Linked DNA regions of Stegostoma tigrinum. The protein of the gene in region 2 binds, or shares a complex with, the protein of the main gene of each other region. Links are inferred from orthologs where the notes say so. Each region holds a gene or a part of one and is shown on either strand. Other genes may lie near its edges.

Evidence for each region.
Region 1: ercc2 (region 2) and polr2c share a complex: the UniProt entries of both Homo sapiens proteins name them as parts of the TBP-based Pol II pre-initiation complex. The link is inferred for Stegostoma tigrinum from reciprocal best matches to the Homo sapiens genes ERCC2 and POLR2C.
Region 3: ercc2 (region 2) and mms19 share a complex: the UniProt entries of both Homo sapiens proteins name them as parts of the MMXD complex. The link is inferred for Stegostoma tigrinum from reciprocal best matches to the Homo sapiens genes ERCC2 and MMS19.

The regions. Positions count from the first base shown.
Region 1 is NW_026728366.1:52,516-60,009, reverse strand, and holds the start of polr2c (DNA-directed RNA polymerase II subunit RPB3), read left to right. Parts: upstream 1-4,466; 5' UTR 4,467-4,539; coding exon 4,540-4,625; exon of another isoform or gene 4,626-4,641; intron 4,642-7,494. UniProt on the Homo sapiens protein: Core component of RNA polymerase II (Pol II), a DNA-dependent RNA polymerase which synthesizes mRNA precursors and many functional non-coding RNAs using the four ribonucleoside triphosphates as substrates.
Region 2 is NC_081392.1:21,347,433-21,354,449, forward strand, and holds the start of ercc2 (general transcription and DNA repair factor IIH helicase subunit XPD), read left to right. Parts: upstream 1-4,000; 5' UTR 4,001-4,088; coding exon 4,089-4,093; intron 4,094-5,434; exon of another isoform or gene 5,435-5,769; intron 5,770-7,017. UniProt on the Homo sapiens protein: ATP-dependent 5'-3' DNA helicase. Component of the general transcription and DNA repair factor IIH (TFIIH) core complex, not absolutely essential for minimal transcription in vitro.
Region 3 is NC_081373.1:12,315,599-12,323,173, forward strand, and holds the start of mms19 (MMS19 nucleotide excision repair protein homolog), read left to right. Parts: upstream 1-4,534; 5' UTR 4,535-4,553; coding exon 4,554-4,638; intron 4,639-7,575. Other genes in the region: ubtd1b (ubiquitin domain-containing protein 1), read right to left, coding at 2,131-2,221. UniProt on the Homo sapiens protein: Key component of the cytosolic iron-sulfur protein assembly (CIA) complex, a multiprotein complex that mediates the incorporation of iron-sulfur cluster into apoproteins specifically involved in DNA metabolism and genomic integrity.

The DNA.
Region 1 (7,494 bases), on a different chromosome or scaffold from region 2:
AATCTCAGTTGTGGAGAGACTGAGGACCTTAGGCCTCAGCCACGCTGAGGTTACTGGCCCCCAGCAAGGTGGTCCTGGGCCAGGGTGGGTGCTCCTAATCTGGGTGATTCCATCCTCCAGTGTTGGAAAAGGGTAGCATTGATTATACTGGTGCAATTGAAAGCCACTTTTACCATGTGTTGTCTGTAGCTGTGCCTGAAGCATCGCCACTTTCATGCCACTCTGTGCCACTTACCCTGAGATAGCCATAGTCTATGGGAGAGGGCAGGACAGCCAATCCCATGCTCTGTATCCCATGCTGTAACTTCTCCTCAACCCTGCGGGCTCCAGCCCCTCCCCTGGGGTACTGGCCCAGGCTCCTCCCTGCCCTCAGGTTGCGCCTTCCCTTTGGGCCAAGTTCTTCTCCCTACTCCTTACCTTCAGGCCCACACCTTGCTGCTGCTGACGATGGCTCCTTTTTCTCTTTGCAGTTGAAGAACCTGAGTGGCATTGGGCAGCACCAATGAGCAGCGTGCTGGCCATCATGACCAACAATGTGTGGACCTGGCACCATAGAGATCTTGTCTGAGGCAAGGCTGCAGACTGTGTACATGTCTGTGTGGGTGTGTACACCATGTATACATGAGTGAGTGTGTGGGTGTGTAATGAGTGTGTGTTCAAATAAAGAGCAATCAATGAGAAAACAAATGGTCCTGTAGAGTTCTGTGTAGCCTGCTGTCAGATACCATGATGGATGCATGTGGATAGGGAGGAAGTGTATATATTTTCTTTCATTCATTTGTGGGAAGTGTGCATTGCTGGCTGGGTCAGCATTTATTGCCTGTCGCTAATTGCCCTTGAGAAGGTGGTGTGAGCTGCCTTCTCGAACTGCTGCAGTCCACCTTCTCCTCTATCCATCTTCAGTCCGCCTCCCCGTCTCTCCCTATTTATTTCAGAACCCTCTCCCCCTCCCCCATTGCTGATGAAGGGTCTCGGCCCGAAATGTCAGCTTTTGTGCTCCTAAGATGCTGCTTGGCTTGCTGGGTTCATTCAGCTCCACACTTTGTTATCTCGGATTTTCCAGCATCTGCAGTTCCCATTATCTCTGATCACAACATTGACTTTCCTGCTGCTCTGATGCTGCCTGGCCTGCTGTGTTCCTCCAGTCTCACAGCTATGTCCTTCTAAGGCCCAACCAGCTCAATCGGTAGTACTGCTGCGGCACGGTGGCTCAGTGGTTGGCACTGCAGCCTCACAGCACCAGGGACCCGGGTTCGATTCCAGCCTCAGGTAACTGTGCGGGGTTTGCATGTTCTCCCCATGTCTGCGTGGGTTTCCTCCGGGTGCTTCAGTTTCCTCCCACAGTCCAAAGATGTGCAGGCTAGGTGGATTGGCTATGCTAAATTGCTCCTACTGTACAGGGGTGTGTGGGTTATAGGTGGATGGATCTGTGTGGGATGCTCGAAGGGGGAGTGTGGACTTGTTGGGCCAAAGGACCTGTTTCCACACTGTAGGGAATCTAATCGAAACTACTGTTGGTGGTGGACATTGAAATCATCCATCCAGAGTACATTTTGTGCCCTTGCCATCCTCAGTGCTTCTCCCTAGTGTTGTCAAATGAAGGAGTCCCAATTCATCAGCTGAGAGGACTGTATGTGGTAATCAGCAGGAGGTTTCCTTGCCCATGTTTAACCTAAAGCTATGAGATATCATGGAGTCCAGAGTCAATGTTGAGAACTCCCAGAGCAACTCCCTCCTGACTGTATATCACTGTGCCAACACCTGTCCTGGGTTTGTCCTGCTGATGAGACAGGACATATCCAGGGACGGTGATGGTGGTGTCTGGGATACAGGGGGAGGGGTGTACGTCGACACGGGGGAGAGGTGCATATGGATACAGAGGGAGTGTGCTTATGAATATAATGAAGGATGTATTTGTAGAGTTTCGGATGATGATAAGGTTGTCCAAGCAGGATATCAATTATTTAATATTTGAGTTCAAAAATGGCAGTTGGAGTTTAACCTAGACAAGTGTGAGGTAATAAAAGTGTGGATCTGGAGGAACACAGCAGGTCAGGCAGCATCAGAGGAGCAGGAAAGCTGACTTTTTGGATCAGGACCCTTCTTCAGTGTGAGGTGATGCGTTTTGTGATATCAAATGCAAGATGAGAGTGCGCAGTAAATGGCCAGACCCTTAGGAGCATTGATATAGAGAGGGTCTTGGGATCTGAGTTCACAGTCCCTGAAAGTGGCAACAAGAGTGAATGAGGTGATAAATAAGGCATATGGCATGCTTGCCTTCATTCATTGGGGTATTGAGTATAAGAATTGGCAAGTCGTTCAGTCGTACAAAACTTCAGTGAGGTCAAATTTAGAGTAGTGTGCGCTGTTCTGGTTGCTGCACTATAGGAAGGATGTGGAGGCTTTGAAGAGGGTGTATAAAGAGGTTTACTGGGATGTTGCCTGGATTGGAGTGTATTAGCTATAAGGAGAGATTTGGACTGATTTCACGAGAGCATCCAGAGACTGAGAGGTGACTTGATAGAAGTACATAAAAATGAGAGGCAATGATAAGGGTGGTTCGCCAGAGCTTTTCCACAAGGAAATGTCAGATACAAGGGAGCATAAGTTTAAGGTGCCGGGGGTGGGGCGCAAGAGGGTGGTAGGTACCTGGATGACAGGTAAAAATGGATAAGATAATTTTAAAGAGGCATTTAGAGACATGAGATTAGTTCAGAACGACATCATGGTTGAGAAAGACATGGTGGGCCAAGAGGCCTGTTCCTGTGCTGTGCTAGACTGATGTACTACACAAACATAGTGGCTACAAGAGCAAGTCATAATCTAAAAATCCTGCAGCGTGTAATTTGCTTCCGGACTCCCCATTGCAAGGATGCATGTATCATAGAATCCCTACAATGTGGAAACAGGCTATTCAGCCCAACAAGTCCTTCCAAAGGGTATCCCACTCAGACCCATTCCCCTACTCCTGCATTTCCCATGCCTAACCCACCTAACCTAAACATCCTTGGACACTATTAACAATTTAGCACGGTCAATGCACCTGACACATCTTTGGACTGTGGGAGGAAACCCACGCAGACACAGACAGTCGCCTGAGGCTGGAATCAGTCCTGGGACCCTGGCACTGAGTGGCTGCAGTATTAACGACTGAGCCACAGCCCTTAGTGGAAGGGACATTCAAAGATTTCTCTGTATGACAAATCTCCTGAGCCCTAAATATTCAGCCCCTTATTCTGAGACAGTTTCTCCCTGTGTTCCCACCCACCGAAGCCTGGGAAAATATGCTTCCTGCAGCTACTCCACTGAGTTTTGTAAAAATTTAGTTTGCACTAGTGAGGTTATCTCTTAACCTTCAAAACTCTAGAAAACATCAGCCCAAGTCCTCCATAACTCCTTATAGGTTCATGTCACCATCCTGGGGATCCTCTGCTGTAGTCCCTCAACAGCAAGCATATCCTTAGGTAACAGACCAAACTGGACACAAATCTGGTATGGTCTCACCAAGGAGTGGAATGCCTCATCCTAGGAGCAGATGCGGCTGAGGTGGAGGAATTGGAGGGATGGAATTTTTGCAGGAGGGTGGGTAGGAGGAGGTGTATTCTAGGTAGCTGTGGGAGTCGGTGGGCTTGAAATGGACATCAGTTACAAGCTGGTTGCCTGAGATGGAGACAGAGGTCCAGGAAGGTGAGGGATGTGCTGGAGATGGCCCAGGTGAACTGAAGGTTGGGGTGGAAGGTGTTGGTGAAGTGGATGAACTGTTCAAGCTCCCCTGGGGAGCAAGAGGCGGCGCCGATACAGTCATCAATGTAACGGAGGAAAAGGTGGGGTTTGGGGCCTGTGTAGGTGCGGAAGAGGGACTGTTCCACGTAACCGACGATCCCCCTCATTCTCACACACCACCCCACCAACCTCCAGATAGAACGCATCATCCTCCGACACTTCCGCCATCTACAATCCGACCCCACCATCCAAGACATTTTTCCATCCCCACCCCTGTCTGCTTTCCGGAGAGACCACTCTCTCCGTGACTCCCTTGTCCACTCCACACTCCCCTGCAACCGCAGGAAATGCTACACTTGCTCCCACATCTCCTCCCTCACCCCTACCCCAGGCCCCAAGATGTCTTTCCATATTAAGCAGATGTTCATCTGCCAATGTGGTATACCGTATCCACTGTACCCGGTGCGGCTCCCTCTACATTGGGGAAACCAAGCGGAGGCTTGGGGACCGCTTTGCAGAACACCTCCGCTCGTTTCGCAATAAAAAAAAGAACTGCACCTCCCAGTCGCTAACCATTTTAATTCTCCCTCCCATTCCTCAGTCTAGGCCCGAAACGTCAGCTTTTTGGGTTCCTGAGATCCTGCTGTGTTCATCCAGCCCCACACTTTGTTATCTCGGATTACCACTCCACTACAGCCTGCCGGGACGGTGGGTGGAGCGGCTCCGCGGGGCTTGCTGGGATAGTGGAGGAGTGGTAGCCAGGGAGCTTGTCGGGAAAGTGGAGTAATCCTCCGGGGGAGTGCCGTTAGCAGCGCAATGCCGTATGCGAACCAGCCGACGGTGCGGATCACGGAGCTGTCTGACGAAAATGTGAAATTCGTCGTGGAGAACACCGAGCTCTCGTCAGTGCTTTTTGGGGTGGGTGGGTGGGGGGCGGGGGAAGAGAGAAGGGGCTTTGAGGTGGTGCGGAAGGTGACCCTTCAGCCCTTCTATCCCGTGCTGGGGGCCGGGTGCTGATGGCCCAACCCCACCGTACGAGCAGTGAAGGATCTGGCTAACTCGGATCTGCACTACTTTCTGGGGGTCATCATTTCTTTTAAAAACGAAACCACTCCCTCCAGCTGTGCTCTCACCGAGGCCCCACAGCACATTCCCACTTTTATATTCAAACCCCTTGTAACAAATGCCACCATTCAATCGAGTTTCCTCGTACTTGCTGTATTTGTGCGTGCTAACCCATTGTGGGATTCACAACCTGGAAACTAGATGGCGCTATGTACCTCAGTTCTCCGATCTCTCCCTCGACCTTTAAAAGTAAAATGCTGCTTTTCTATTCTTCCCGTCAAAGGGGAGAAAGTTACACTTTTCATGCACTTGACTCCTAAATCTGCCCATTCACTTAACATATCTGCATCCCATTGTAAACTCTCCACTTCTTGACACTTTATTTTCCGGGCCGTCATTGACAAATTTAGCAGCTGTATATTTGACTATCTCATCCAACCTCTTGATTTAAGTTGTGAGTAGTTCAGTGCCCAGAACTGATCCCTGTGGCACTCCAGTTGTTCAGCTTGCTAAGCTGAAAATGCACCATTTATCTCTGCTGTCTATTATTTAACCAATTGTATCAATGCTGATAGAATGTCTCCCTGTCTACTAAGCTGGTACCTTTTGGAAATACAAATTTATTATATTATTAGTTGTTCTCTATTCATTAGGATGTTATTTCATCAAATAGCTCTAAAAGACCAGTTAAATACAATTTCTTTTTTACAAAACAATGTTGACTCCGATCTTTTGCTACCTCCCCACCTATACTGCCCTCTCCATCTATCTTCTCCTCTATCCATCTTATGTCTGCCTCCTCCTCTCTCCCTATTTATTTCAGAATTCTCTCCCCATCCCCCTTTTCTGATGAAGGGTCTAGGCCAAAAATGTCAGCTTTTGTGCTCCTAAGATGCTGCTTGGCCGGCTGTGTTAATCCAGCTCCACGCTTTGTTATCTTTGACTCTGATCACTCGTTTTTTGAAGTATTTTGCTATAGCCTCCTTACGAGTTGATTGAAGCATCTTCCCTGTGGCGGATGTGACACTGAGCAGCTTGTAGTTTCCTGCTTTCTGTTCCCCTGTGTTCTTAAAGGTAGAGGGGTCGGTTAGTTCATTTGGCTGGATGGTTGGATTGAATTGCAGAGTGTGGCCAACAGCATGGGTTCAATTCCTGCACCAGCTGAGGTTGCCATGAAGGACTCCCCTTCTCATCCTGTCTTCTTGCCTGAGCTATGGTGACCCTCAGTTTAAACCACCAGCAGTTGTCTCTCTCTAATGAAACAGTAGTCCTATCGTCGAGTAAGACGATGGTGACTTTAATTGAATAAAGATTTGCTATTTTCAAAACTGCTGTGATCTTTTCCAAAATCCAGGGAATTTTCTAAAATTATAATGAATCCCCCACTATCTTTGTAATTTCTTTTAAGACAGCGCAACATCGAGGGCCGAAGGGCCTGTTCTACGCAGTATTGTTCTATGTTAGATCCTGGGGACCTTCAAACTTTAGGTCAAATAGTTTTCCCAGCAGCTTTTCCCTGGTGATGGTGATTACTTGAAATTCGTCTCTCTGTATCACCTCTTGATTTTCAGTATCTACACGGAACCCAACATAAAATAGTTGGTAAAAATCTCAGTGATTTCTTTAATTTCCATTTTCAATCCTCCAGATTCACTGTCACAAGAGGACTAATACTATAACTTTTATTCTCTGTTTTTGTTCCCATCTAGCTAGATATCACTCATAGTCTGCTTTCTGCCACTCCACTTAATATTTATGTAATTTTTTAAATTCACTGCTGGCTCTTAAATATCTGTCGACACCTCTGACTTATCACTACTCATTAGAGAATTGTACAGTGACAGCACAGTGCGGAGCTGGAGGAACACAACAGGTCAGGCAGCATCAGAGAAGCAGGAAAGTTAACGTTTCGGGTTCCAATCCAAAATGTCGACTTTCCTGCTCCTCTGATGCTGCCTGACCTGCTATGTTCCTCCAGTTCCACACTGCGTCATCTCTAACTCCAGCAACTGAAGTTCTATCTATCTCTGAGAAAATTATACAGTGCTTCTTTCAGTCGAACACTGACCTTAGTTTACCTATTCACCATCAGTTGATTCATCCTTCTCGAGGAGTCTTTGGATCTCACCGGAATAAATTTTTGCTGAGAGTCATTAAATGTGCCTTTAACAGTCTGCCACTGAGTTTCTATTGTCCTACCTCATAAACTAGTCTCAGTTTAGCCAGCTCTGCTTTCTCAGTCAAATGAATCCCTTTATTTACTTTAAAATCCTAGTTTGAGACACCCGAGCCCTGATAGCTTCACATTGAATATGTAATTCTATGACTGCTTATTACCTACAGTCTTCTTTCTCATAAGATTATGTAGTCATAGAGGTCTACATCAAAGAAAAATACCCATTGGCCCATTGAGTCTGCGCTGGTCAAACACAAATACCCAACTATTCTTACAGAGGTAGTAGGAACTGTCTGTGCTGGAGAATCTGAGATAACAAGGTATAGAGCTGGATCTACCTAGAAGGGTCTCGACCTGAAACATCAACTTTCCTGCTCCTCTGATGCTGCTTGGCCTGCTTTGTTCATCCAGCTCTACACCTTGTAACCTAACTATTCTATTCCCATTTTCCAGCATTTTGCCCATAACCTTGCATGCCTCAGCATTACAAGCGCACAACTAAAAACTTCTGAAATGTTATTATGGTTTCT
Region 2 (7,017 bases):
CCTCTGATTATTTTATATGTTTCAATTAAGTCACCCTCAACCTTCTTCTCTCTAACGAAAACAGCCTCAAGTCTCTCAGTCTTTCCTCATAAGACCTTCCCTTCATACCAGGCAACATCCTAGTAAATCTCCTCTGCACCCTTTCCAAAGCTTCCACATCCTTCTTATAATGCGGTGACCAGAACTGTAAACAATACTCCAAGTGCGGCCGCAACAGAGTTTTGTACAGCTGCAGCATAACTTCTTGGTTCCGGAACTCAATCCCTCTATTAATAAAAGCTAAAACACTGTATGCCTTCTTAATAGCCCTGTCAACCTGGGTGGCAACTTTCAAGGATCTGTGTACATATAAATTCTCCCACTGGGAACACACAGCATGGGTTCATGAAGGGTAGGTCATGTTTAACTAATTTGGTGAAATTCTTTGAGGACATTACTTGGATATGGACAATGGGGAGCCTGTGGGTGTGGTGTATCTGGATTTCCGGAAGGCATTTGACAAGGTGCCACACCAAAGGCTGTTGTATAAGATAATGTTGCACAGCATTACAGGTAATGTATTGGCATATAGAGGATTGGTTGACTAGTGGAAAGCAAAGAGTAGGGGTAAAGGCGTGTTTTTCTAGTTGGCGGTCAGTGGCTAGTGGTGTGCCTCAGGGATCAGTGTTGGGACCACAATTGTTTACAATTTACATAGATGATTTAGATTTGGGAACTAAGTGTGGTGTGTCAAAATTTGCAGATGACTGTAAGATGAGTAGTAGAGCAAAGTGTGCAAAAGACTGAAAGTCTACAGAGGGATATAGATAGCCTAAGTGAGTGGGCAAAGGTCTGGCAGATTGAGTACAATGTTGATAAGTGTGAGGTCATCCATTTTGGTAGGAATAACAGCAAAATAGACTATGTTTTAAATGGTAAAACATTGCAGTAGAGGGACTTGGGTGTCCTTGTGCATGAATCGCTAAAAGTAGGATTGCAGGTGCAGCAGGTAATTAAAAAGGCAAATGGAATTTTGTCTGCCATTGCTGGAGGGATGGAGTTTAAAAACAGGGAGGCTATGCTGCAGCTGTATAGGGTCCTGGTGAGGCCACACCTGGAGTACAGTGTGCAGTTTTTGGTCTCCTTACTTGAGAAGAGATATACTAGCACTGGAGGGAGTGTAGAGGAGATTCACTCGGTTGATTCCAGAGTTGAGAGGGTTGGGTCATGACGAGAGGCTGAGCGGGCTGGGGTTATACTCATTGGAATTCAGAAGAATGAGGGGAGATCTTATAGAAACATATAAGATTATGAAGGGAATAGATAAGGTGGAGGCAGGGAGGTTGTTTCCGCTAGCAGGTGAAACTAGGACTAGAAGGCATCGCCTCAAAATAAAGGGAAGCAGATGTAGGACTGAGGTCAGGAGGAACTTCTTCACCCAAAGGGTTGTGAATCTGTGGATTCCATGCCCAGTGAAGCGGTTGAAGCTACCTCACGGAATGTGTTTAAGACAAGGCTAGATAAATTTTTGAACAGTGAAAGAATTAAGGGTTACGGTGTGTGGGCAGGTAAGTGGAGCTGAGTCTCAAAAAGATCAGCCATGATCTTATTGAATGGTGGGGCAGGCTCAAGGGGCCGAATGGCCTACTCCTGTTCCTAGTTCTTATGTTAATAAGCTTCAAAAACCCAGTCAATAACCCACTCAATAACACCCTAAATAATCCATAAAATATATCACTAAATCCCCAAAACCTCCTCAATGACACCCTTAAATAATACATTAAAATAAATCACTAAATAATCCCCAAAAAACCTCCTCGATAACACCCTAAATAATTCTTTAAAATAAATTACTAAATAATCCCCAAAATCCTCAATACCACCCTAAATAAACCATTAAAATAACTCATTAAATAATCCCCAAAAACCCTCCTCATAAACACCCTAAACAAACCATTAAAATCATCCCCCAATCTTCCTCAATAATATCCTCAATAGACCATCAAAATAAATTCCTAAATAATTCCCAAAAACCTCCTGATCTCTACTGAGCTCAAAAAAATCACTGAAAAACACAATGGGTCAGGCATCATCCACAGACAGAGAACAAGCTAATGTTTCAAGTCTGGATGACTCTTCATGAAAGCTGCCAGGAATACATCCAGTAATGGTTTTGTCTTTTGGATTTCAACATTGAATCCTATTGGCTGTAAAGTGCCTAAGTGGAAGCCTGGCTGTTGTTGGTTGAACTTACATTGTGTATCTTTGGAGAAATACAGCAGTCCCAATGCAAATGTTAATATGAGAACCATATGGTTTATTAAAATGGCATGTGACTGGAAGGTTGAAGTTGGAGTCATTCTTATGGACAGAGCAGAAGTGTTCTGCAAAGTGGTCAGCCAGTCTGCAATGCAGAGGAGACTGCATTATGAGCAGCAAATACTGTAGATTAGATTGAAAGAAGTACAAGTAAAATGCTGTTTCACCTGGTTTGTGTATTTGGTGCCTTAAGCAGTGAGGGGGAATGTAAATGGAAGGTAAATACACCTTCTCTGGCTGCACGGGAAGGTGCCATTGGAGAATGAGGAAGAGTTAGGAGTGATCTAGGATTGGGCCAGTATCTAGTGGAGTTCCTGTGGAATGCTGACATGGGAGGTTAAGGAAAGATTTATTTGATGGTGGCATCCTGCTGATGGCTGCAGAAATGGCAGAGGATAATCCTTAGAATTTAGGGACTGGTGGGGTGGAAAGTGAGGTTTAGACGAACCCAATTGTTGTTGTGGAAGGGAGGGGAATAGGTGAGGGCAGACGTGGTAGAGGTGGGTCAGACATGGTTGAATGTTTGAGGGTCGTGTCAAACATGATGGCGTGGAGTATCCTTAGTTGAGCAAAAATATCATATTAGAGGCCTAGTGCAAGGTAATATCATCAGATCAGATGCAGCAGAAACCGCTCAATAATGCCGACTGATGCTTCAGCTTTAATATTGTGTATGATATCAAAGATCCATTGAGGCAGAACAATAACAAAATAGGGCTCTTTTACATTCAGTTTGAAACACGCATACTTAAATTCAAGATAAGGATATTGAGGTTAAATAAAACCAACTACGGTATGTCATGTGTGAGGAACAAATCATGGATCCCTTGAGCACAGAAGCAGGCCATCAAGTCCATACTGATCCTCTGAAGAGCACCCCATCCAAATCCTTTCCCTCTATTGACCATGGCTAATCCACCTACCTTACACTTCTCAGGATACCTGGGCAATTTAGCATGGCCAGTCCAACTAATCTGCACGTCCTTAGACTGTGGGAGGAAACCCACACAGTCAGGAGAGAATGTGCAAACTCCACGCAGACAGTCACCTGAGGCCGGGATTAAATCTAGGTACTTCGTGCTGTGTTTTAGCAGTGGTAACCACGGAGTCAAGGAAGATTGTTTGTGAAAGTGGAATAAATGCTGTGGAATTTGATAAGATGTGACAGCCACTGAAAGAAATGCTTTAAAATTAATAATGAAACTTTATTCAGTGGTAGACGAATTCCCTAGGAAAAGTGACCCATCTGTGGCTGACCAAAATTCAGGATAGTATCAGATTAATTTAGCCAAAGTGTGAAAATTGTTAAGTCCAGGTTCTGGAGCACAAGAATAAGCCTCATTACAATTGGACAGGAAGAGCAGAGGTCCTGCTGTGTGGATTCTTGGTCTTCAAATGTCAAAGGAATGGGATTCGATGGGCCGAAAGACCTCCTCTGTGCTAAATGACACTGAGATTGTTTGTTTGGAGGGAACAAGATGGATGATTTCCTGAAATAAAGTGGCCTGTGTGTGATGAGAATAATGTGGGTCAGAGCTCTCTGCAGTTACAGTCAATGTGAATGTGTTCTTAGTGCAAGAAGGAGGAGCTACTCCATCTATCCTTCAGAGCTATCGACGCCCAACTCCTCTACCTGGCCGTCGGAGCGGTGTTCGATTGCAAAAGGCTGCAGGAGGTGGGAAGGGAACAGATGGACAGACAATGCAACCAGTGGAGAGCAAAGACTGGGAAAGTGGATCTGTGATTGGTGGAGACTGGAGAGGGCGGGACGTGGAACTGAAGCGGTGAAAATGAGGTGAATGAGGGAGAGAGGGAAGGAGAGATGAGGGAGTGAGGAGGAACAGAGAGGGAGAGATGAGGAACAGGGAGGGAGTGAGGAGGAACAGAGAGTGAGGGCTGGAGAGATGAGGGAGTGAGGAGGAACAGGGAGGGAGAGTGTGAGGAGGAACAGGGAGGGAGAGATGAGGAACAGGGAGGGAGGGAGTGATGAGGAACAGGGAGGGAGGGAGTGATGAGGAACAGGGAGGGAGGGAGTGATGAGGAACAGGGAGGGAGAGATGAGGGAGTGAGGAGGAACAGGGAGGGAGAGATGAGGAACAGGGAGGGAGTGAGGAGGAACAGGGAGGGAGAGATGAGGGAGTGAGGAGGAACAGGGAGGGAGGGAGTGAGGAGGAACAGGGAGGGAGGGAGTGAGGAGGAACAGGGAGGGAGGGAGTGAGGAGGAACAGGGAGGGAGGGAGTGAGGAGGAACAGGGAGGGAGGGAGAGATGAGGGAGTGAGGAGGAACAGGGAGGGAGGGAGAGATGAGGGAGTGAGGAGGAACAGGGAGGGAGGGAATGAGGAGGAACAGGGATGGAGGGAGGGAGAGATGAGGGAATGAGGAGGAACAGGGATGGAGGGAGGGAGAGATGAGGGAGTGAGGAGGAACAGGGAGGGAGGGAGAGATGAGGGAGTGAGGAGGAACAGGGAGGGAGGGAGAGATGAGGGAGTGAGGAGGAACAGGGAGGGAGGGAGAGATGAGGGAGTGAGGAGGAACAGGGAGGGAGGGAGAGATGAGGGAGTGAGGAGGAACAGGGAGGGAGAGATGAGGGAGTGAGGAGGAACAGGGAGGGAGGGAGGGAGTGAGGAGGAACAGGGAGGGAGGGAGGGAGTGAGGAGGAACAGGGAGGGAGGGAGTGAGGAGGAACAGGGAGGGAGGGAGTGAGGAGGAACAGGGAGGGAGGGAGAGATGAGGGAGTGAGGAGGAACAGGGAGGGAGGGAGAGATGAGGGAGTGAGGAGGAACAGGGAGGGAGGGAGAGATGAGGGAGTGAGGAGGAACAGGGAGGGAGAGATGAGGGAGTGAGGAGGAACAGGGAGGGAGGGAGGGAGAGATGAGGGAGTGAGGAGGCACAGGGTGGGAGGGAGAGATGAGGGAGTGAGGAGGAACAGGGAGGGAGGGAGAGATGAGGGAGTGAGGAGGAACAGGGAGGGAGGGAGAGATGAGGGAGTGAGGAGGAACAGGGAGGGAGGGACGGACAGATGAGGGAGTGAGGAGGAACAGAGAGGGAGGGACGGAGAGATGAGGGAATGAGGAGGAACAGGGAGGGAGGGAGAGATGAGGGAATGAGGAGGAACAGGGAGGGAGGGAGAGATGAGGGAGTGAGGAGGAACACGGATTGAGAGATGAGGGAGTGAGGAGGAACACGGATTGAGAGATGAGGGAGTGAGGAGGAACACGGATTGAGAAATGAGGGAGTGAGGAGGAACACGGATTGAGAGATGAAGGGGAGAACTGAAGGAACAAGAGGAGTTACAGCAAGAGAGAAGTGGAGCTTCAGGGGATGGGGAGAAATGGGAGCCGGTTCTGCATAAATTGGGGCCCTGGACCCCAGTGAATAATTGCTGAGGTGGTACCTTCACTGCTGACTGAACCCTTTGCCAGTTATATAACCTTCACATCCACGTGTGGCCTGTCTGCAAGGAGATTGTTGTTGAGTTCCATTCCTTTATTCTCAGTCACTTGATACAACAATGTTCTCAAATTCTCAATGTTACAGGTTTTTTGATAAGTTGCTTTCAAGAACGAGATAGACAGATCTCTTAAAGGTAGTGGAATCAAGGGTTATGGGGATAAGGCAGGAACAGGATACTGATTGTGGATGATCAGCCATGATCATAATGAATGGTGGTGCTGGCCCGAAGGGCTGAATGGCCCACTCCAGCACCTATTGTCTATTGTCTGTTGATGTTTCATGTGACATTAACTGAAATACAACTTGGATGCAAATTGGAAATACTTATCGGGATAGTTTAGAACAAGCTTTATTCTCTCTCTAACTGGGTGCTAGCCCTGCCCTGAGGTTTTTTGACTGGGACATTGTTGAGGGACATTTACTTTCTGTTTAAAACAGTAGATAGAGAATTGTTTTGTGTCTAACCCTCTAGTCTTGCATGTGTTTGATGGAGACAATGTAGAGGAAAGTTTCCTTTCAGTTTAAAAGAGAAGATAGCAGGCACTTTAACTCAGAATTTAACCCCATGCTGTGCCTGGGAGTGTTTGATGGAGATAGTTCGAGAGACATTTTACTAGCTGTTTAAAGGAGTAGAGGAAGCGTTATTCTGTTTCTAATCCTGTGATGCCCCTGTCCTTGGAGTGCTTGGAATGTACAGTGTAAAGGGAGCCTCAATTTCCGTTTAAAAGGCTCTGCATCAACCCAATGATGTACCTGTTAAAAGAGCTTTTTAATAGGGGAAGTGTCAGGGGAGCCTTACTTGGTTTACTTTCAGTTTAAAAGAGTAGAGACAGCTTTACTCTTTATTTAACTCTGTGTTGTACCTGCCTTGGGACTGTTTGATGAAGACAGTGTAGAAGATGCTTTACTTTGTGTTTACTAAGCAGAAGAAATTTATTCTGTTATCTAACCCCATGCTGTATGTACTGTCGCTGAGCTTGGAGATGACACAAATTAGGTGGAAGGGTGAGTGATGATTAGATGCTATAGAAGGATGTGGACAAGCTAAATATATGGGTAAAACTTGGAAGATGTAGCTTAATATGGGAAAACATAAGAGAATACATTTTAGCAAGAAAAATAAAAAGGCTGAATGTTACTCAGACGGAGAAGGACAGCAGAAAGCTGTAACACGTGAATATCCTTGTACATATTCATAAAATACTAATTTACAATTTAGTAGGTTATAGGGAAGGCAAATGGTTTGTTGGTCTTTATTCCAAAGG
Region 3 (7,575 bases), on a different chromosome or scaffold from region 2:
CATATTTTTATACTTCATTCCACTATACAAAAGAAATATCTCCTGTCAGACACGAACAGTGGTACAAATGCAACAAACTACAACGGTCGCTAAGAGATTTACGTACAAATTAAGCTTCCACACAATCTGTCATGGTGCTTACTGTTAGACTGTATCCTAATGTGCAAACTTTCAGAGTTAATTGCAAAACTAGGGTTGATCTGTTAGACCACATGGAGCTCTTGGTTCATCACTTTGGTGCAAATCACCCACCACAATCTTATACCAGACCGCTAGATTGGGAAATAATCCCCAATACGGTTGCTTTTGTCATGCAATATAGAAAGCAATATGTTCTGCTTCCTTACTGCAATCATTTTAAATTATTGTAGAAACATAAGATAAATAAGCATTGCAAAAACTGGAAAGAATATGCTAATATGTAAATGTTACAAATAAAGTTCGTAGAAGACATAATTATGAAAAAGCTCAATTAACAATTTGCAAAGGTATTCAACTTCAACTAGTACTAAATTTGAAGATATAAATCTGCACACAACTTCATTAGTCTTCAAAAGAAAATTGGAAATACATTAAGGATACTAAGTACTGGGCTATGGGAAAGAAAGACAATGTTTTTTTTTGCTATCATTCACTCAGTCAGCTCAGAGACCTCATTCAGTGTTGTTATTGTGACTATAGTCATGTATGTTGGAAATCATAGAACAACGCACAGAAAAATCACTGTCTGCTCTCTCCATGCAAACTCTTCACCAGAGTTAATTACCTCAACCCCCTCCCCTGCTTTTTCCTGAACCCGGCAATTATTTCCCTTTTCAGGCACTAATTACATTTGTGAACCCTAGACAAAGATAAACCGGTTGAATTTTCTGCAGAACATTGCCACTTCACTTATTATATGGAAATTCCTGCCAGGAACTGTTTTGGATAAATATTTTAGTTGACTATTCATCTGAAGCAGCTACAGGTAAATTAAGTGGGGTGTGTCCCTATAGACTTGTCCTCCATTGCAGGATGACGAAAACAGCTTGTGAAATAACTTAGTTACGAATACAGCTTATGAAATACCTGCGTGAATCACAAGCTCCTAACATTCACTTTACTAAATCTGATCATCTTATCTCAGACCCCCAAACTGTAGATCAATGAAAAACTGGGCAAAGTTCTGCTGGGATAGGAGAAGCAGAATGAGGTATTGATACCGGAGGTCTGTTCGCTAATGCCAGTCTACTCAAATCTGACCTTAAGTGTAGGTTAACATGAATATCAGCCACCCAGGTGGGCAAAACAAATAATTTTTCTGGTCGGTAAAGCAATCAACTTTGTTTTGAAAACAGTTAAATAAATTTCTTATGCAAATAAGATTGACATGAAAAATTAATTCCATAAAAAGAAAACACATTCCAGCTACAAAGTAAAATTTTAACCCTTACTATCAACATTACTGAAAATGCTTATTTATCCAAAAATGGCTTTTATTGAATTTGACTATTTCAGGGATAACCAGACTTGCTGGCAGTCACTCAAGCTGTGTGTCTAAGAATCGACCAGATATACAGCAGGTCTGCTGCTATCACAAGCAGCATTCAATCTCCCTGCCCACCTGGGTATAAAACTGGCATCCAGGAAGCAAAAACAGACCTTTGGAGACAAAGCTTTTACATGGGGCAGAATACAGAGGTCAGAGATGAGAGTGGGAAAGAAAGAGCTAGAACAAGTAATTTCACTGATACATATCCAAGGTAAGTTCACCTAAACTGAATGGCTACATTAAAACATCGAGCTTTTATCCTGAAAAAATGATAAATGTCTGAGTATCAGTATCAACACAGGCATAAATCTAACATTAGTAGATAGATGGGCCTTGCCATGTAGCAATGGAAGAAATATAAATAAGGAAGTAGCTTCCAAAAGCAGCGCGTGAACAGACTTCTCATTAATTTAGTGAACTACAATTTGGATGGCGATTCTACTAACACAACACTGACACGATGGAAAATATATTGCATTGCTGGAACTAAAATTATGACCAAAAGTGAAAAAAAGTCCTACGCCATTAGCCCCCTGCTGAGCACGCCCAATCGGAAACACTGGGCGCTATCATAATTTTACACTCTTCTGCTGCCTTACCTGTTTTTCTCCCATTGCCACTCCGTCTCCCTAAGCGATGATGTTGCTGCTGTTGTTGTTGCCGGCGTTGGGTCCCCACGCAGCCTCCCATCAATGATGCCCTTGACCCAGGTGCGTCTCACCCACTAACCGCAAACCCACCTGAAGTCTGGGAGAAACTCGCAGCAAGTCCCCTGGAGCTCATGAATTCATTTTCTTAAAGACTCGCCGTCTATCCCCTCCCAAAAAACGCACACAAAAGAAATCCCACGGTCCACCTTTAAGACCCACCAGTCCGTGCAAAGTTTGGATCCAAGATAATCCCTAACCCACCCCAAAACCCCAGTGCAAACACAGAACTACCCCTCCTCTCTCTCCCAAACCAAGTAACAGCCCGTAACCGGGGCAACCAGTCGGCCCTCACCTACTTTACCTGCTACTGCAAAACTACACCAACATCTCTCATCGCTTCACCAACCTTCCCATCTCAGCCAATAAGGCAGGCTCTCTCGCGCTTTCTCTCCCTCAATGTCACAAAGCAAAAGTTGGTCTAATCTGTGAACATACAATTCTGTCTAGCTTCACTCCATATCTTTCGGAAGCTGAACCAGCAGTGACACTCCACTACCAGCCTTTCCCCACCTGAGCGACGTTACTATCAATGTACACCCACCGGCCCAAAGCGCCTGCGCCGTTGCCTTACCCCGCCCGGTGCACGCTGGGTAACGCTGGCCTCCCACACCTGACGCGCGGCCCACCGCGCACGCGCACGGGCACCTGCCACGCCCCCCCCATCGGCGTACTCTTCCTTAGCAACCGGATGCCAGCCGTTACTAAGGCGACCCCCTGAAACTAGAAATGGGGGAAACTTTACTCTGTGCCATATAATAAGGACCATGGGGTAATCTGGGTAACATCAATTGTTGACTAATTCAGAGCTCCAGTCTAAAATCTTGAGTTCGAGTTTAAAAGATTAAAGCAATTTTGAAAGAATTAAATTTGATCAGGGGTCGCAAGAACTGCAGATGCTGGAGTCAGAGACAATACAGTATGGAGCTGGAGGAACAGATTTCTGATGAAGGGTCTAGGCCCGAAGCGTCAGCTTTTGTGCTCCCAAGATGCTGCTTGGCCTGCTGTGTTCATCCAGCTCCACACTTTGTTATCTTGGATTCTCCAGCATCTGCAGTTCCTATCATCTCAGGAAGAAGATTAGGCTAGTCAACTTCTCAAACCTGCTCTACTATACAATTATATGACAGTTTACCTTATTGTAATCTCAAATCCACATTCCCACCAACCCCAATAACTTTTCATTCCCTTGCTTAAAAAGTACTTGTCAAGGTATTTCTTAAAAATATTCAAAGACGGCATTTTCAGGAACAAAGTTCCATTGTTGCTATACAAATTCAAATAATCATCTCTTTAATTTATTTTTTAAAAATGACGATTTGATCAAATTTACAGACAATACAGTATGGAGCTGGAGGAACACAGGAGGTCAAGCAACATTAGAGGGGCAGGAAACTTTCTGATGAAGGATCTAGGCCCAAAATGTCAGCTTTCCTAAGATGCTGCTTGGCCTGCTGTGTTCATGCAGCTCTATACTTTGTTATCTCTACTCTTCTTCCTGATTTGTACATCATGTGCAGGGTTACATTGTGAAGGCAGAAGGGGAATCGGTTAAATTAAATACACATAGGAACTGCTGGAGAACCCCAGAAGGTTTGACAGCATCAGTGGAGACAGAAACATGGCTAATATTTTAAATACAGTGACTCTTTAAGGAACTAAAGAAGGAAGGAGTGGGTTTTATTCTGTTGCTGGGGTTGGGTTGGTGGGTTAAGGCAACCACAGGGGCAGGTCAGGGAAAGGTTAAGAAGATTTGAGACCAAAATTAGTATGGAACAAAATGCAAAATTTTTATTAATAGGCCAAATGGCCTCCTTTATCCTTTCATGGGATGTTGAGCATCACTGGTATTGCCTTTTTAAGAAGAAAACTGACAGTTCACCACATCATTGTGGCTCACATTTAGGTCAAATCAGGTAAGGATAACACATTTCCTTCTCTTTTGGATAACCCTTGTAGCAATATTTCCATTACACCACCACCTCCCTCTTCTGCATTGTAATTATTCTGTGATTTGAGTATTGTTGAAAAAAAAATCAACTTTGACAAAAGAAGAATTTTTATACTACTTCATGTCTGCTTTTTCAACAATACTGAAGCTTTGGACAGCCAAATAACTGCGTGAGTCCGTTAAAAATGTTTTATCTTCTACATTGAATTCAGTCTCTGTTCCCTTTGACTAACAGAATTAAAATCAAAGCTGTCAAGTGAAGGAGTTTCTCTGTGTAGTCTGCAGAGTAATGAGCATGTGATCTGTGCCATTTGCGGTCACGTGACATCCAGCTCGTGGCGCATGCGCGGTTGAGTGCAGCAGCATGGCCGCCGACATGAGGCTGTTAGGGCTGGTGGAGGAGTTTGTGAGTGGGTTGCAGGACGGGGCTGCCAAGGACCTAGCTACAGGTAGGAATGGAAGTGAATGGTGCTGTGTACAGCTATTGTTGTCTGGGAGGACGAGCTGCTGATGGAGGGGTCCCGGGCGAGGAAGTGGCGCCGCCCGTCTGGCCGTGTCACCCTGGTAACGGCGCACGGACCCCAGTTTCCTGACTGGAATCTGTATCTCTTCTGCGCTCGACAGCCCTCACGTAGGCCTCCCCTAGCTTTTCAGGAATCTGTTCAAGTAATAAGCTGAGTATTGAGCAATTCCCTAGGCAAAAAAATTTCAGTTTAAGGTTTGTCTGAAAAATGGCCAGTGTAATGTTTCAGCACTGCCAGAGTTTCTCGAGTTGACCATCAATTTTGGGAGGTTGGCATCTCTGAGCTAATGTTGAAGCCTAGAGATCTAAACTTTATATAGGATATAAAACTGTCTGACTCTTCTTTTGATCTTAACTCCAATTTAGTGTTTATTTACATGTAAGAACATTAAAAAATGCACGTGACCATACAAACCTTTGAGCCTTCACCACCATTCAGTAAGACTTTCTACCCTAACTCCATCCAACAGTACACCCCCCCGCCATGTTTATCTTTATTTTTTTTAGTATCCAAAAATCAATATTTCTCTGTTTTCAATAAAGCCAATTCTTAGAGCATCTTCTAATTTCTGAAATGGCCTACCCTTTATTCTGATAACAGTGATTCCCTTGGGGGAAACATCCTCCCAGAATATACCCTGTAAAACTCTTCAAGAACTTCAGGGTTCCAATAAGATTTTTCATTTTTTTAAACCCCAAAAAACATGGGCCAAGTTTACTGTATCTCTCCTCTTTGGACATTTTCCTCACTCCAGAAATCACATTTAATAAATCTTTGTTGCACTCCCTTGAATACAGATATATCTTTCGTTGAATAAGGAGACAGAATTGCCCTCACTGGTAACCTAGTGACAGTAATTTTGGGTTTTTAATATCTAAATGGATTGAGGCTCTCTTCTCTAAGTTTTTTTTGATTGTGATAAAGCAATGTCCTGATCCCATATTTCAGGCTGCATCTAAGTATGCAAGCTGATTCTTTCAAAGCCAGGTGGATAAAATTAGTTTTACTGAAATTCTGTTTTCTACATTTGACCCCATGATCCTTCCAGAATGTGTTCTTCTATGTTCCTTTGGACTCAGTACTGCAGTCCTTAATGCAGAATGGCCATGTTTAGAACCAGATTCTGAGGAACTGTTAATTTAGGGGAGCAAACTTTATTGGGAAAACAGAGAAAATTGGAGAGGAAAATAAACATTTGTCACTTTGAATGAGAAGCATTTAACAATTTTATAACCGTTCTTGCAATTTAGCTAGAAATACTAAAAATGGCATTTTTAAAATTTGTCTATTGGTAGTGAATTCATTTATTTGTTTTCGCTGACTTTCCCCATTATTCTCATTGAAAAAAAAAGCTATTATGTCAGATGGGTTATCGGTTTCAAAGTGTCAAATTACCTTTCATTAAAATTGATTGCAGGAACTTGATGCTTCTGGATCCAGCAAAACAGTCAATGATAGATAAGACCTTTGAATTCCAAATAATGGCATGCTTTACTGGAATTTCACAGATAGCAGTAATGTGGTATTGATTTGAAAATTATTGATTCACTTAACTTTCCTTGTGGCTGGGAGTTTAGGGCTCTTAAACACCGCATCCACCAGTGATTTCTGCCTTGGGGCAGCAATCTATTCTTAATGTTGCACTGATGTATGTTGCACTTCTTAAAAATGTGGATGTTATGAAATCTCAATTAAATAATAACGTTTGCGATTAGTAATATATACAGGATGGAGAAACTTAGATTACAAATTGGAAAAAAAACTTTCCCTTGTCACAGTCATCGTCATACCACACAGAAACAGACCATTCAGCCCAACCAGTCCATGCTGACCCTAGTCCCACCCGCTTGCGATTAGTCCATATCCGTCTTATTCATGGACTTATCTAAATGTCCTTTAAATATTGTAATTTTACCTACATCCATGAATTTCTCTGGCAGTTCATTCCAAACAAGAATAGCTCTCGGTGCCAAAAATGTTGCCCCTCTTTTTTTCTTAAACAATCTTTCTCCTCTCAGCAAAAGATATCCCCCCCCACTCCTTGTCTTGAAATCCCCCATCTCAAGGGAAAGACACCTACCATCACCTTTATGATTTTATAAGCTCCGATAAGGTCAACCCTCAACCACCTATGCTCCAGTAGAAACAGGGGTCCCAGCTTCTCCTTATAACTCACATGCTCCATTCCTGCTGAACTTTTTCTGACCTCTCTCTGGCTTAATAATATCCTTCCTATGACAAGGCAACCTGGACTGGACGCAGCACTCCAGAAGATGCCTCGCTTAACGCTCCCTCGTTATTTTGCCAGATCAAAAAAGTTTTGACAATGTAATTTTGCTTTTTTGTGAGCATTTCTTCTGTTGTTTGACTCTTGGCAGTGCTCCTACAAGAAGTTTGGAAGAAGAGTTATATTCAACTCAAAGTATTAGCTCCGTTCCATATTCCACAAATGCTGCCTGACCTGATTATTTTATATATTTGTTTTTTATTTCAAATTTATACCATTTGTAACAATATAGAATCCCTAGAGTGTGGGAACAGGCCATTCAGCTCAATGAGTCCACACCAACTCAGAAAGGAGCATTCCACCCAGATTCACCCCTCATCCCTGCACCCCCATCACCAATCCACCTAATTTAGCCACCCCTGGACACTATGGGTAATTTCGTATGGCCAATTCACCTGACCTGGACATCTCTAGACTGTGGGAGGAAACCCATGCAGACATGGAGTGTGCAAACTCCACACAGAGTTCCTCGGGGCTGGAATTAAACATGGGTCCCTGGTGCTGTGAAGCAGCAGTGCCAACCACTGAGCCACCCTGCCACCCTATTTCTGCAAGTCTTGTCTTTTCAAACTATA